Linked DNA regions of Canis lupus familiaris. The protein of the gene in region 2 purifies or fractionates together with the protein of the main gene of each other region. This does not show direct contact. Links are inferred from orthologs where the notes say so. Each region holds a gene or a part of one and is shown on either strand. Other genes may lie near its edges.

Evidence for each region.
Region 1: the proteins of RPL13A (region 2) and RPL7L1 purify together in Homo sapiens (affinity purification with mass spectrometry; 3 studies listed by BioGRID and IntAct, with this or other methods). This does not show direct contact. The link is inferred for Canis lupus familiaris from reciprocal best matches to the Homo sapiens genes RPL13A and RPL7L1.

The regions. Positions count from the first base shown.
Region 1 is NC_049233.1:11,630,332-11,637,965, reverse strand, and holds the start of RPL7L1 (60S ribosomal protein L7-like 1), read right to left. Parts: upstream 5,178-7,634; 5' UTR 4,912-5,177; coding exon 4,871-4,911; intron 4,257-4,870; coding exon 4,148-4,256; intron 3,465-4,147; coding exon 3,301-3,464; intron 2,291-3,300; coding exon 2,153-2,290; intron 1,204-2,152; coding exon 1,094-1,203; intron 903-1,093; coding exon 694-902; 3' UTR 688-693; intron 251-687; 3' UTR 1-250.
Region 2 is NC_049222.1:107,685,715-107,693,340, forward strand, and holds RPL13A (60S ribosomal protein L13a), read right to left. Parts: upstream 4,838-7,626; 5' UTR 4,740-4,837; coding exon 4,725-4,739; intron 3,291-4,724; coding exon 3,218-3,290; intron 3,172-3,217; exon of another isoform or gene 3,088-3,171; intron 2,840-3,087; coding exon 2,774-2,839; intron 2,578-2,773; coding exon 2,476-2,577; intron 2,437-2,475; exon of another isoform or gene 2,352-2,436; intron 2,268-2,351; coding exon 2,182-2,267; intron 2,145-2,181; exon of another isoform or gene 2,072-2,144; intron 2,004-2,071; coding exon 1,944-2,003; intron 1,884-1,943; exon of another isoform or gene 1,797-1,883; intron 1,671-1,796; coding exon 1,548-1,670; intron 1,349-1,547; coding exon 1,262-1,348; 3' UTR 758-1,261; downstream 1-757. Other genes in the region: FLT3LG (fms-related tyrosine kinase 3 ligand precursor), read right to left, coding at 5,809-6,027. UniProt on the Homo sapiens protein: Associated with ribosomes but is not required for canonical ribosome function and has extra-ribosomal functions.

The DNA.
Region 1 (7,634 bases), on a different chromosome or scaffold from region 2:
AGCAGGACTCCTTCTATGGCATGAGTCCTCTGCTGATTTGAGAGGTGGCAGTGGCAGGCAATGTGGAAAATACACTGGAATTTTTCCTTGAAACTGCTGTGGTCAGAAGTGCCTGCCAGGAGCATCATCTTTTCCTTGACCCTCCCTCTAGTTTCTGAAGATAGAGCAGAAAATAATCTTCTTTGAAGATACTGGTAACAATTCCAGAAGACAAAACACATGCCACCAATGCACTGTGCTTCCAGATATTCTGAGGAAGAAAAACACAACTTCATTAACATAAGTTTAATGAAAGCACCTCAGATTAATCACAATAAGCAATTTCAAAAAGTTAAGATACTTTCAACAAAATAGATGGTTTAAATCTTCATGTCCTTTTTGAAACTGGTTTTTAATATTCTCTCCCCATTTCCAGGTAAATGACCACAGCGATACAGATTTTTTTTTTTGCTACTCGACATTTTCTAGCCTTTAATTGTTGGATACACATAGTGTCATGTCCTGACCAGGCAGTCACTGTTCTAAGCACATTTCCATGTTAGACTGGTAGCTACCAGTCTTCTCACTCCCCCCATTGCTAGAGTTACTTTTCAGATACTGGTAAATGCAAAAACACTTTTTTTTTTTTAACTGGACAGACATGGCCCATCAAAGCCAGCCAAAGGGCAGTTTCCAGCCCTGCCTCACCTGGGTTTAATTCAGCTGCCGAATGAGCTGATTGATGCGTTCACCTCGATAGCCAGGTAAGCCCACCTCCTTGAGGAAGCCCACTCTGTTCTTGGTAGCATGTCGGGCCATTGAGAGGTGGAAAGGACGTAAGAACGCAGAGATGGCCTGGAAATTCTTTCCCGGAAAGGCAATTTCATGAATGAGGTCTTCCAAGCAAATAACACCATACTTCCCTAAGAAACAAAAGGTACAGATTCCTTTATTCAACACTTCTCCAGTATATACTATGAGGCTCTTACGTGCCAAAGCTGGGCACTCTAGTAGATTCTTGGGACCCCAAGAAGAATTTGACCTAAATTCCACACCAAGAAGACCAGAGATCCTTGCTTTGTACCCCAACTGACCTGTAAAGTGGAACACTCACCCAGATGCTCCTCAATCACTGTGTTGTCCGTCAAAGGGATGGTTTTATTCTTGACCTTGGCTTGTCCACGTTTCAAGATGAGTTCCCGGACAGACTTCAGATTTGGAAATCTATGTGAGGCAGAATGAAGTACAGCCTTATCAGCCCCTGGCACTGTAACTGACACTGGCCTGTCTCAGTCCTGCAGCCTGGCCGAGGAGAGATTTGTCCACACCCCCCCTTCTTCCCACCAAGAAATCTGTTATCACACTACAGCTGGGACGCTTGGAATTACACAAGTGAAGAAGGGGGTCAAAAACCAGAGTGGCCTTGACTAGGTAATTAGAAATTAAAATTTATGGATATAAACATTCACCACAGAAAAAAAATTTACTTTCCCAGGTAAAAATAAAATAAGCGCTGGCTTACAGTTCAGGACTCTTACCTTATATGACCCTTACTCAAGATGGTGCCAGAATTTGAAATTAAATCCAGGCCTTGGTGATCCCTGGGTGGTTCAGCAGTTTAGTGCTGCCTTCGACCCAGGGCGTAATCCTGGAATCCTGGGATCAAGTCCCACATTAGGCTCCCTGCATGGAGCCTGCTTCTCCCTCTGCCTGTGTCTCTGCCTCTCTCTCTCTCTGTCTCTCATAAATAAATAAGTAAAATCTCAAAAAAAAAAAAAGAATCCAGGCCTTTGCTGGGTTTTTTTTTTTTTTTGCTGGGTTTTAATATTTGAAGGAACACTACTCTTACATAAACACTGCCCCAAGCTGTTTGAAGACCCCCCAAATTAATTTCTTTCTACCCCTCTTACTCAGCCTCAGCCTACAAGTGAACAAGCCCTGCCACGGTACTGCTCATGGCACATTATCAGCAGCTCTGCTATCTCCTGTTCTACTTGTCCCACGTTCCAAGGTTCTACGGCTGGCAGCTGATTTCTGGTGACTGTGGTCACAACAAAATATTTCTTGAAGCAGCAACACAAGCCTCAGAGAAGAGTATCCCATGCATCGTAGTGTTCTCATCACGCTCAAATACAATCTAATATGAATCCACACACCCAAAAAATCTTCTCACCCCCAGGTCACATAAGGTTCCACTATCCGCAGTGTCTTCATGGTCTGGGGGGTTACTCTGAAAAAGACACCACTGAAGATCTTCTTCAGGCGCAGCCTTGCAATGGTCCTCTGTACCAGTGAACTCACCCCATTAATCCTGAAATGAACAGCAGAGGACGTCAGGCTTTATTCAGTTTACGTAAGGCCAGCAAGCAACTATAAAATGTTTGCCACTACAGGGCATCAAGAGAGCAAGACACAGACTATGTCTAACAGGTCAGGAGGTGGCAGCTATGTAAACAATCATTCTCACATGATGTGGAGCAATGCCTGAGGTGCTATAAGAACACAGAGGGAGGCCCTGATTCAGTGTGTGTTGGGGGTGTGTGAGTGTGTGTGTAGGGCTGTGAACGTCAAGCAAAGGAAGCTGGACTTGCTGCCTGGGCAGTAACAGCACAAAGACTTTAGGGAAAGGAAACACAATCACCTTTCTTCTTTATGATCACTGAGGAGAGCATATAAGACAGATCTGAAAGTGTGACATCAGAGGCAGGGAAACTCAGGAAGCTAATGCGACAGTCCAGGAAAGAAATTATGAGAAATGGTAGGAAGGTTAATAACGAGGACTCAAAAATATTTAAAGCACACACTTTTCTGGTTTGGGTGCCTGGGTACTGGAAAGAGGGAGGCAGCTGTACATGCAGGTAGACTGGGTAAAGTACAATTAAGTGAGAAAAAAGCTTTATGAACTCTCCCCAGCACTAAATACGTTCCATTTACTTGACCTTGGTTCAGTTCCTAGAAAGAAGCCTTGATTCTCTCAATTCAGGACTTTCTGCATCTATGCCTGGAAAGCCTTCCTTGAAATTTGTGAATTCCTTCCATGTTTGCAGGTCTCAGCTTCAAGGCCCTGTTTTAGAGTGTCCTGAACCAGTACTGCTCCAACAACAGTCAACCTTCACAGCACTGGGTGTATTTTCATGTCTGTTTGCCTAAGGTCACTCTCCTAAAACCTTAAAGACAAAAACCACGTTGTGCTTGACCCTGAATTCCCAGCACAACTTGCCCGAGTGGCTTAAAGCCTATTATAACTCACTTCCCCCAGAAAGGAGTCTAAAGCTGAACCAACAATTTGCTTCAGCCTTGGGAATGTGGCAAGTTCCCCACCTTTGGATGCGTACAATGAAGGCCAAGGAATGTTTATCTGGCACTTCTAAGCCATGAGGTTTCACTTCCAGGCGTCTGAGGCGCACCCTGTCACGCTGCTGCCGCCAGGAATCATGAAGGAACCACTCCAGTCGCTTAAACTTGAGCTTTTTTCCTTTATTCTGCTGAAAGAAGGGAGACCATCATCACCATTTTGTGCCTCTATTTTTTACTTCTACAATAGTAATTCATCAGGCACTCTCGATTGAATGTATTTTCCATTATGTCCCGCAAACCTAAGCAAACAAACACCTTCTATTCTATTTAAAGGAAAAATGAGGTACCCAAGTGAAGATGGAAGTGTGAAAACTCTGAAACTCCTAGGAAAAGCCTCTGATAAATAAACAAGTTAATTTACATGCTGTTAGCCAGCGTTTACCAACACATATTTATGGAACCTAACATTGGGTTAAGCATCATGAGGTACAGAATAAGCATGAGCTTGTTTCATTTTCCTGACTTCAAAATATCTGTTTTCCAAAAACGTTTAGCAAATAGCAAAAAACTGTTTGGCACCTTTAAGTATAATATTATTTTCTTCCAGGTACACAAGCATGTGTGGTCTTTCAAATCACTTGGTATGAACCTATAGTACAATCTCCACTCCACTTTTTCCTTACCAAACTCTACTGCATTTTACCTGCAGAAAGCGTTTCATAAACACCTGTTAAACGAAGACACGAACCGTACACCTGTTAGAATTGATGGCGACAGCACCGTCGACGACGCCAAATCTAGTTTAACACACCCTACACAGAACTCACCAAACACACATTCCAATTCCCCTCTCTTGGTTCCCCATCATTACCTCCTTCTTGTCCAAAAGCGCCTGCTTTGCTTGAGTGGCTTTAAGGGCCTGATAAGCCTTCCTCTTTTTCAGGAGATTTTCTGGAACCAAAGGGATCTTTTTTCTTTGCCTGATAAGAAAATCGCAATCAGCGAAAGTGTCTAAAAAGCAAATCATAAATGAAATTCTGAATCATCTCTTGGGCTTCGAGAAACCTTACTCTCTTCAAATTCCTAAAGCCAGACTTCCCTGAAACCTGTGGTTTCTGACTTCAGTCCTCAAGATGGACCCCTTAACGAGGGAACCCTCGTTCCTAAAGCAGTGAAAGGTCACGAACCCTGGGGCCACTGGCCCTCCCTAGGCCTCCATGGAGCTTTTACTGCCACAGCCTTTTAAAGACACTAGCAGCTACGTGATTCTAGAGAAACCCCGAGGGGTTAGGATGGGTGTAGACTCATCTGCAGGGGTAGTACTTGCGTCAGGCTGAGCGAACCCAAGTCCGGCACTCTTCAGCCCGCCGCCGCCGCTCCAGGTAACTCGGGCTTGACGGCGGCTTCCTCCGTCTGACCGTCAGCCCGAACCCTACGGCTTTACTCCTCATCCCACCCTTTGAAATCTGGAGTCTTTTCTCTTGTCCTTCCTTCAGTCCACAAGAACCCTTCTATTCGCGCCGCGGAGGAATAAACACCGTGGATGGCACCAGATGCTCAAGACCCCACTGAGATTCAAAGCCCGAACACTCACTCTTGCTCCGCCATGTTTCCCGAGCAGCGGCTACTGCTCATGCGCAGCCCCACCACGTGGGGGAGAGAGGACCGCTCTCGGTTTGCTTGACCATAGAGATGGGTCTTCTAGCCCTCGGAGGACCGCCCCCGACAGCTGGCGCCGTTAGCTGCCGCTAACACAGATTCCGGCCGAAGTTGCACAGAGCTTCCAAGCACTTTAGGATCCGTGTCATCTTCATAAGCCGCTCTCTTCGTTTACTATATTCGTTGAACACTGGTGGCAAGGCTTATAAACAAGGAAACGCTTCCCAAGTTGCATCTGCGACTTCCGGTGTGGAGGGCGCGCCGCTCCTCCGACTTCCGGTTGGCGGCGCGAGTTCGAGGAGGACTGGGGCGGCCCGGGTGGCGCAGCGGTTTAGCGTCGCCTTCAGCCTGGGGCGTGATCCTGGAGACCGAGGATCGAGTCCCGCGTCGGGCTCCCTGCGTGGAGCCTGCTTCTCCCGCTGCCTGTGTCTCTGCTTCTGTGTGTGTGTGTCTCTCATGGATAAATAAAATCTTAAAAAAAGAGAGAGGACGACAGGCTGGCATGATCGGCTTTTTGCTGGGTGGGGAGGGCTGGGGCCGTGACTTTGGCTCGTCCGTGTGGGTGGAGGTGTTCGTGGACGACTCCGCACGGTAGACAGTCAGTGGGTCCCGGAGCAAGTTATCTAACCTCTGTACCTTGGTCTGCTCACCCATAAGATGGACCTACCCAATAGCGTTCCGAGGATTCTGTGAAATACTCCATTTAGAGAGCTTAGCACGATGCCTGGCGGTAAGCAGGCAAACGCTATGTTGGATTGAATAGAAATTCCTCCTTGCCCGTTTCGGGATCTTCTTTATATACCTCTCAACACCCGGAATTTGCTTCCTTCTTTCCCGGTCTTCATTAAACAAGGAAAAATAGCCCACGTTCTGTCTTCTGGAAACCCCCAGTGCAGGGTGTCTCCAGCATTAATATGCATCGTAGTCACCTGAGGGTCCCGTTAAAATGCAGATTTTCATTCACTAGGAGGCCGGGGGTTGATACTGTGCAGTTTTAGCCTGCTTCCCGGTGATGCCATGCTTCAAGTCTATGGGCTGAACTTTAGCAAGACTCTAGTGTCTTTCTCTGAATTCCTTCAATACATTATTATATTATATATATGTTTTTAAGATTTTATTTACTCATGAGAGACACAGAGACATAGAGGGAGAAGCAGGCTCCCGTCGTGGAGCCTGATGCAGGACTGGATCCTAGGATCTCGGTACCAAGACCCCAGCCAAAGGCAGATGCTCTACCACTGAGCTACCCAGGTGCCCCTCACACATTATTATATTTTAAACATTTCCTCATGATACTAGGAGGGCAGGGACCATGCCTGCTTTGCTCATGGTGGTTGCTAAAGGTCTAACAAAGGTTTCTCAGTCTTAGCCCTGTTGGCTTTTTTGGGCCAGATAATTCTTTAGTATGGGGGGCTGTCCCATGCATTGTGGGATGTTTAGCAGCATCCCCAGGCTTCTACCAACTACATACCAGTAGTATCCGCACCCCAGATGTGACAATGTCTCCAGGCATTGCCAAATATGTAACACAGTGTACGTATATGTATCCCAATGCCATTATTTGGGCACTGGGCACTTAGCAGGCATCACCACAGACTTTATCCTATACTATTTTTTTTATTGCTTCCTTGATTAGGTTGGGTGCTCTGAAGGCAGGGAACTTATCTCCTACTTCTTTGTCTTCTAATGCTCCTGTCACAATAGTGGCCACCTGCTGAGGTTTTGTAACTAAACTCAAAGCATCATATTGCTATGTGCTATGTAACTAGTCCAGCCAGAAAGATAGTGCCATTCACAGAGCTCATTACCTGACGAATAAACTTCAAAGGACAACACAGTCTTTGGAGTCAAAGTCTGGTGTGAAGCTCCTTCTCACTCAGCATCTCACGTGTCTCACTTTGTAAAAAGGCAAAAACAAGGATCACTAAAGTGTAAAACATTTATTAGATAGTAAATAAGGAACAAAAATAAGTCACTCTTTTGTAACTGCATCTGTGTACAGATAAAAGGTAAATTCTTCGGTGCTAAAGGTATTAAGGAGAGGAGGAATATCAGGACAATTAACAATACTGGCTGAAAGACTTGGAGGCCATGATTCAGGAAAGGTTTTCAATGCCAGCAGATGGTGCTAAGAGAGTACTTCTTCTCAGTGCCTAAGCCATTGTTCCACAAAATACAGAGGGAAAGAGCAAGACCCCCAAATTCAACCCCCAAATTCTTCACTTAACTGAATACGTGTTGTTTACTGAGCATTGTCCATATGCTCCAGCACTAGGCAAGACACAAGACTTTTTATTTCAAAACGAGGATAGTGAGTGAGAATGAGAAATGGCCATCTACAGCCTCAAGAATTTTACTTTAAGATTTTATTTTTTTAGCGACAGAGAATGTGTGTGCATGGGTGTGCACACATGTGCATTCAAGTGGGTGGGGGTCGGGAGGAGCAGATGGAGAGGACAAGCAGATTCTGTGCTGAGTGCGAAGCCCCACGTGGGGATCCATCCCACATCCCTGTGATCATGTCCTGAGCTAAAATCAAGAGTCAGATGCTCAACTGACTGAGCCCCCCAGTTGCCCCCCCTTCTTAAGATTTCATTTATTTTAGAGAGAATAGGGGAGGGACAGGAAGAGGAGCAGAGTGAGAGGCAGAGAATCTGGAGCAGACTCCCCGCTGAGTGTTGAGCCCCACACAGGCTCAA
Region 2 (7,626 bases):
GGTCAGCACAGAACAGGTGACTAGGGAAGCTTGGTATCTGCTCAAAGCTCTTCAGCCTTCCAGATCGAATTATTGTAATTTTAGGGGCACCTGGGTGGCCCAGTAGGTAAGCATGACTTGGATTTGGCTCAGGCCAGGTCAGGTTGTGAGATGGAGCCCCACCTTGTTTTCTATGCTGGGTGTGGAGCCTGCTTAAGACTCTCCATCTCCCTCCACCCCCTCCCAAATCTAGCTTTATAAAAGCTTTAGATCTCATATTCCTAGTTCCGTGGCTAATGCTAATTTCAATGTTTCCGGTCTCCTGAACCTCCTGCTGTGGCCCAAGACCAACCGCCAGTGATGAGACTGGTTTTAAGAGGACTATTTAGGGACGCCTGGGTGGCTCGGGGAGGGGGGTTGAGAATTCCAATCCCAGGGAAGAGTCCCACATTGGCCCCTTGTAGAGAAACCTGCCTCTCAGGAATAAAATTATTTTTTTTGTTGTTAGGAATAAAATTTTTAAAAAGTGACAATTTCATACTTTGCAGCTGAATTAGACAATCTGCTGGGCAACCATGATGGTTTTGAGAAATTCAACTACATACGACTCAAAATTCCTTGGTAGGCAGAAGCTCTTCCATGAAGAATAGGTCATTATGCAACTGTTGTGGGAAGGACTCCAGCATGGCCAGTCCTATCCTCCCAGCCCCTTTTCTTGCTGAGGGCCTCACTCCCCTGGGCCTGCCTCCACAGCAGACACACACTGCAAGACGCCAAGTTTCTTTAAAAATAATTTATTAGGTTTGGATCACAGAATTACAGGGATAGCACAAGGGTAGAGCCTGTGACCCCTTGGCTGTTCCCCATCTACAGATCTGGAACTACCTCTGTACACCAGGCTTGGCCCCCAGCATCCTCACACCCTAACAGCTACAGAGTATAGCGCCTGACTGTGCATGACAAGTTTAAATACACCCCATTCTCAACGAAGGGCTCCCCTCCATTTTCCAGGTCTTTCTTGCTTACAGTGAAATGGCACTAATAACTCTCAGGAATGAGTCACAGGCACTTATGCCTCAGAACTCTTAAGAATTTTTTTTTTTAACTTTTTAGAAGACCTTTCTTAACAGTAGTGACTAAAGCCTTGTGTTCCCAGTACTGTAAGCCCCAGGTTGCCTGAGGCATGAGGGCAGCAGCCCCTGGGAGTCCCCCATATCCTAGGGCGGCGATGGAGGAAGGGCAGGCCAGGCCAAGCATGATGAATAAGTCAATTTTATTGGGCTCAGACCAGGAGTCCATGGGTCTTGAGGACCTCTGTGTATTTGTCAATTTTCTTCTCCACATTCTTTTCGGCCTGTTTCCGTAGCCTCTGTGGGGTAAGAGAACAGACAATGGTCAATGGGTGTTGCCCAAGACCTTCCTCATCCTAGGTGCCCAATTCCACTCCCTGCCAAGTCGGGCCTCAGGCAGAGGCCTCTGGGGCTGAACAAAGACCACTCTGTCCAGAGAGATCATCCTCAAGGCCCTGCCCAAGAACACGGTACCCTTTGGTTCCAGCCCATCCTCACCATAAGCTGTTTCTTCTTCCGATAATGGATCTTGGCCTTTTCCTTCCTCTTCTCCTCCAGGGTGGCTGTTACTGCCTGGTACTTCCAGCCAACTTCGTGAGCCAGGCGCCCCAGGTAAGCAAACTGTGTGGGAGGGGAGAAGAAAGTTCTAAGCCAAGTGGAGCCAGGGTGGCAAGCTGTCCTGGAGGACCCAAATTTTCTCAGCAGGTCTCAGCTAAAGATACAGCCACCCCAAGGGGCTCCCTGCTCCTGCTGGCATCAGCTGAGCCATTGGCATTATCGGCACTGCCCACTGTGGCATCCGCAGACCATCGTGAGAAAGAGCCATCATCTGCCAGTTTCAGGGACCTCAGATTTGCCCCCTAGTCAGAGTACCCAGCCTAACCTGGAACTCACCTTTCGTGTAGGCTTCAGGCGTACCACCTTGAGGGCAGCTGGAACCACCATTCGCTTTTTCTGTTAGAGAAGGAGAGGAGCTTAAGAGCCCTGGAATAAGGGACAGACAGGGAAGAAGGCTGCTGGGACAGCGTCTCAGCCAATGCTGTTCTCATGAGGATCAAACAATGTAGGTACAACTGTGCAACATCATGGACGCCAGACACATGAATGCTGTACAGGAGGCTGTGGAGCTCACCTTGTCATAGGGTGGTGGGATCCCATCAAACACCTTGAGGCGGTCCAGGGCAGCCTGGCCTCGCTTGGTCTTGTGGGGCAGCATGCCTGTGGGTGGATGACCAACAGACTTGCTCAGTGGGGCTCATGAGGACCCTGCCCCCAACCCCACCCAACCCCACGGTCACAGTGGTGGCCTCAGATGGTAGTGCATGTGGAGTCATCTCATAGTCAGGAAACTCGAATACAAGTGGGAGAAGTCCTCATCACTGGCCACCCATCCCCTCGCCACCTGCAGTCCTCAGGCCCCGCTCACCTCTAACTGTCCGCCAAAAGATACGGCTGGGTGCCCGGAAGTGATAGGGGCCACGGGATGGGTTGGTGTTCATCCGCTTGCGGAGGAAGGCCAGGTACTTCACTGGGGAGAGAGAGGGTGTGAAACCTCAGCCCCCAGCCAAAGGCTAACTTCTTCCAACACACATCCATGCTCCCAAGGGCCTGTTCGGGAACGCAAATGAGCACTTCCCACCACCAGTGGGCTCGCCCCTGGAGCCAATGAAGACTGCGAATCTCCCAGGTCCACCCTCCAGCCCTCCTCCCAGGTCCTAACTTACACTTGTTTCTGTAGAAATTGCCAGAAATGTTGATGCCTTCACAGCGCACGACTACAACCTTCCGGCCTAGAGGAAAAGGAAAGTGCGAACAAAGGCTACAAGCGGCTCTACATATAAACTGGTTACCACCCACCTCCTGAAGACCCTGGAACATGGATCCTTCTGTGTGGAGCTGACCACAACGTACAAGAAAGCCAAGGCCTCTTGCAGGGGAACCTCTTGCCCCAAGAAGAACTTGATTTATGCTTATATTTACAGCCTGACTGAAAATTTTCCATCTCGAACTCCCAGACCCCAGGAGAGGGAGTAGCTAGTAGGTCTCAGAGCGGTGCATGGGGTTGATCTCATGGTCGTGAGACTCAAACGAAAGATGGTGATTGTTGCTCATCACTGACCGCTGGATGGGACCCATGCCCAGAGGAACCGTGGGCAGAGCAGACTTACCCAGAAGCACCTGTTTGGCCACAATGGCCGCCAGGCGGCCCAGGAGATGGCCTCGGCCATCGAGCACCAGGACCTGGTGGAGATAGGATAAAAAGGCTTAGATGCATCTTCAGCTTTGACTCCCCACCCAAAGCAACTAGTGCTGCTGGTTTGTCACCTTATCCCCCAGAGTGCCCTATCCACTAGCAGGCCTGAAAACCAGGACCCGAGGCCCACCGAACAGATGTGGCCAAGAAACCAAAGGTTGACACGATTTCCGTGAACAGAATTAAAACAAAGGCCTTTCCTCACATCTCAGCTGCCTAAAGGGCAGGAAGTCTTAAGCCCCAATTACATTCAAGGGTGAGAGGATGAGCTGGGATTTGAACAAAGGCTGGCAACAGTCTGTCCATTGATCCAGTCAGTGGGAGAGGCTCTGCAGAGTAGTCAGGAGCTGGTGCCAGATCTTATGTCGAATTTAGCTCAGCATCCCTGGGCGAACTTCTCAAAGTCAAATCCTTAGCTTCTTCACCACGAGTCAAGTCCCCACTCTTACCCAGTGCTTGTTATATACTTGTGATTGTTGGAAGGCAGAAGGATACAGAATCTAAAGCCAGACTTCCTGACAATGTGACTTTGGCTAAAAATCTCCAGCTTCCTCACCTGGAAGATGGGGATAACAATATCTGCCTCAGGAACATTATGGTATGTTAACCGTATTACACTAAATATAAACCCAATGGTGCCAGGCACAGTTGACTGCGCGAACACGTGTTCAGAGAACCTTACCACCTCTCCGGACTCCACAAACGTGCCTTTTCCTCCCCTTACCGCTCAGACTCATTACATAAATTCACATGGACACCCTTTCCGGAACCATCCTCGCTTTCATATTTAAAAAAATCAAGACAAGGAGTCCGCCGCTTCTGCGGTGTCCCTCAGGTGGCCATGGGCAGCGGAGCCTTTCATCAGTTCTCTGCTCCAGGAGCAACGAAAAGAGCAATTCGTTCCTGGACGTCCAGTAGGCAGGAACGCTCTGGACCCACCGCCTAAGACCTCCTACGAAAGCGTCCAGAGCTGCAGGCGGCGGGTGAGAACTCCCACGAGGGTGAGGGGACGCGCGCCTCGAGCAGGCTGGTAGCGCCCTCCATTTTGGCCAATCCTTGGCTTCTCACAGCCCAGGCGCTTTCCGTCGCTAAGGACACACGGGCCCAACTCGGCCAAGGCTTGGCCGAGAGGAAGACAAACGAGCCCTACTTTTAAAGTAGCTTTCTATTTTGGGAGCCCCCATTATGCCCCTAAGAGAAAAGGGGTAATGCCGCATTTTAGCCATTCCCGAACAAAAAGAAGCCATCCTAGTTATCTCCTGTTTCCCCGTTGCAGATTCCTTAGGCCGAAAGCTTCTCCTTTCGTTCAATTATCGAGTTTAGGTTTCACAACACACTTATGAGGGCAAAGAGGGCCCTACCCCATTCCGGCCTGGAACCCACCCGGCCCCACGCCTCCCCGGCCCGCGAAGAGCCCGCACCTGCCCCTCCGCCATCTTCGGCAGCCGCCTGGGAAAGGAGGAAGCCTCGGCGCAGGGTTTCTTATCCCTTGAAACAGGGGCGGAGGAAGTGACGCCGCATGGGCTGTACGGGCAGCTTTCCGTCTTTTCATTGGCTAGAGTGTTTTGCGCGTGCGCAAAGGGAGCCGCTAGAAGGCGGGTCGTCTTCTAACTGTCCAATCCGCGTCCAGTCCTTCTCGTCGGCTCTTAAGCAGCCATTGCTGTGCTGGGCGAGAGATCACGTGGGGTATGATGCGGCTCCGCTGGGACGGGACTGTCCAGCCTCGGCAGCCATATTTTTGAGGGGCTGCGAATTTCCGCGTTGGGGGCTTGGTCGGGTGTCTGCGGGGAGCGGAGGGAAGCGCCGTCACTCGCTGAAGCGACAGCAGGTTGCAGGGCACGCGGTGGCCCGCAGGGGGCCAGTGGGCTCTCTCTTCATCGCGCAGTCTAGGCTTAAAGGTCTGGATTCCAGTGGCTGTTCCGCCTCCCAGTGACTTGGCCGAACCCCACCCCCCCACCCCCCGGCCCCCGCCTGACCCTGTCTGGGCCTCAGTGTCCCCGTCTGTAAAACAGATGGAAATAGTTTGCCCTCTGAGCTCTAAGAGCGTACGAGGGAATGACTACCAGGCGGCTTCGAGGTTTTCGCTTCGGCTGCGTCCCTGGCCTCGGATGTCCTCCCCTCCAGCCCCACCTTCTGAAGCCTCAGACTGTCACAGTCCCAGTGCTTTCCTGCGGAGGAGTCCTCTCCTCCAGGGCGCCCCCCGGGATCTCAGGCTGCCGGGACGCGTACTCGCCGCGGGCTCCGAGGGCCTGTACTGCAGCCGCTGCACCGAGGCGCCCAGGGTCTTGTTCCCCTCAGATCCGGAGCCCCGGGCCGGCGGGTCCTGACTCCCCCCGACTGGGTCTCGGCGCTGCCGCGCACTGGTTCTGCACCCCAGGCGGCCTCAGAGAGCAGGGACTGAATGAAGCATTGCATTAACCGAAAAACCAGGATCCGCACCCAAACTGCCCCGTCCACATCCTGTCCCATCTACAGGCCTGGCGACAGCTGGTAGAAAAGGATGATTTATATACAATTTCTTGGGGGCAAGGACTTTGTACAGAGGGGGAGAGGTGGGGCTGGGGCTGGCTTTGGGGGCGTTGGGGGCGGGCGTTGCCTTGATCCTGGGGAGGGAGCGAGCGGGGCTGCGTGGTCGAGGAAGGGACCAGTCTCTAGCTGACTCCCTCCAGGTCCCAGCTCTGTGTCCTCGGGCAGATGGCTCCGCTCGCTGGGCCTCAGTGTCCTCTGTAAAACGGGATGAGAGATGTGTCTGTCTCAGTGGACTGTCTGGGGATCCGTGGACAGAAGAGAGGAAGGAGAGCACCAAGCTCAGTGCTCGGCACAGACTCAGTATTGAGAACAATTCCCTTTCCAGTGAGTGCCCACTGTGTGTTAGGGCATCACTGTCCAAGAGAACTAACTCTGCAAAGATGGAGACCGTGAGATCCCTGCGCTCCCACACAGCCGCAGAGCAGCCACGGTGAATGCCGAGTACTCCAAATGTGCCCAGTGCAACTGAGGAGCTGAGTTTTACATCTTACCTACTTTAAACTTAACTGGTAGTGTGTTTATTAGGAGAGCAGGAAAACCGAGTGGACAGAAGCAAGAACAGGACGAAAACTTCTCAGTGGATTACCTTTTCAAAAAAAATTGTAACAAAAATTATTGTACAAGGGAAGCCTGGGTGGCTCAGCAGTTGAGGGTCTGCCTTCAGCTCAGGGTGTGATCCTGGGGTCCTGTAGGGAGCCTGCTTCTCCCTTTGCCTGCATCTCTGCCTCTCTCTTGTGTGTCTCTCATGAATAAATAAATAAAATCTTTAAAAATTGTTTTGAAAAATTATTGTACAAAAACAAGTGCTAAAGTGAAAAATTATTTAAACTTAGAAACTGGGATCCCGGGCAGCCCCGGTGGCACAGTGGTTTAGTGCTGCCTGCAGCCTGGGATGTGATCCTGGAGACCCGGGATCGAGTCCCGCATCGGGCTCTCTGAATGAATAAATAAATAAATCTTAAAAAAAAAAAAAAAGTCTCTGTGTGACTATCATGAATAAATAAATAAAATCTTTAAAAATAAAGTAAACTTAGAAACTGATCCTGGGGCTGGGGGGGGGGGGGCGCTGTCAGTTACCCCATCTGACTCTTAATTTTGGCTCAGGTCCTGATCTCAGGGTGAGGGAATCAAGTCCCCAGTCAATTTGATGGTAGAAGTGGAGACTGGTTAAGATTCTCTCTCACCATCTCCCTCTGTTCCCCCCTCCCTGCTCTTTATCAAAAAGAAAAGAGAAAAAAAGGAGAGGTGCATGGGTGGTTCAGTTGGTTAAGTGTCTGCCTTCAGGTCAGGTCATGATCCCATGGGCTCCCTGCTCAGTGGGGAGTCTGCTTCTCCCCTTCCCTCTGCTCCTCCCCCCATTTGAGGGTGCTCTGTCTTCTCTCAAATAATAAAATCTTTTTTTTTTATTTTTATTTATTTATGATAGTCACAGGGAGAGAGAGAGAGAGGCAGAGACGCAGGCAGAGGGAGAAGCAGGCTCCATGCACCGGGAGCCCGATATGGGATTCGATCCCGGGTCTCCAGGATCGAGCCCTGGGCCAAAGGCAGACACCAAACCGCTGTGCCACCCAGGGATCCCTCAAATAATAAAATCTTTAAAAAAATAGCAAAAACAACTTGTTTCTTTTTGGAAACTTGTTTTTTTTTAAGATTTTTATTTTATTTACTCATGAGAGATACAGGCAGAGGGAGAAGCAGGCTCCATGTAGGGAGCCTGATGCGGGACTTGATCCCGGGACCCCAGGATCACGCCCTGGGCTGCAGGTGGCGCTAAACCGCTATGCCATCCGGGCT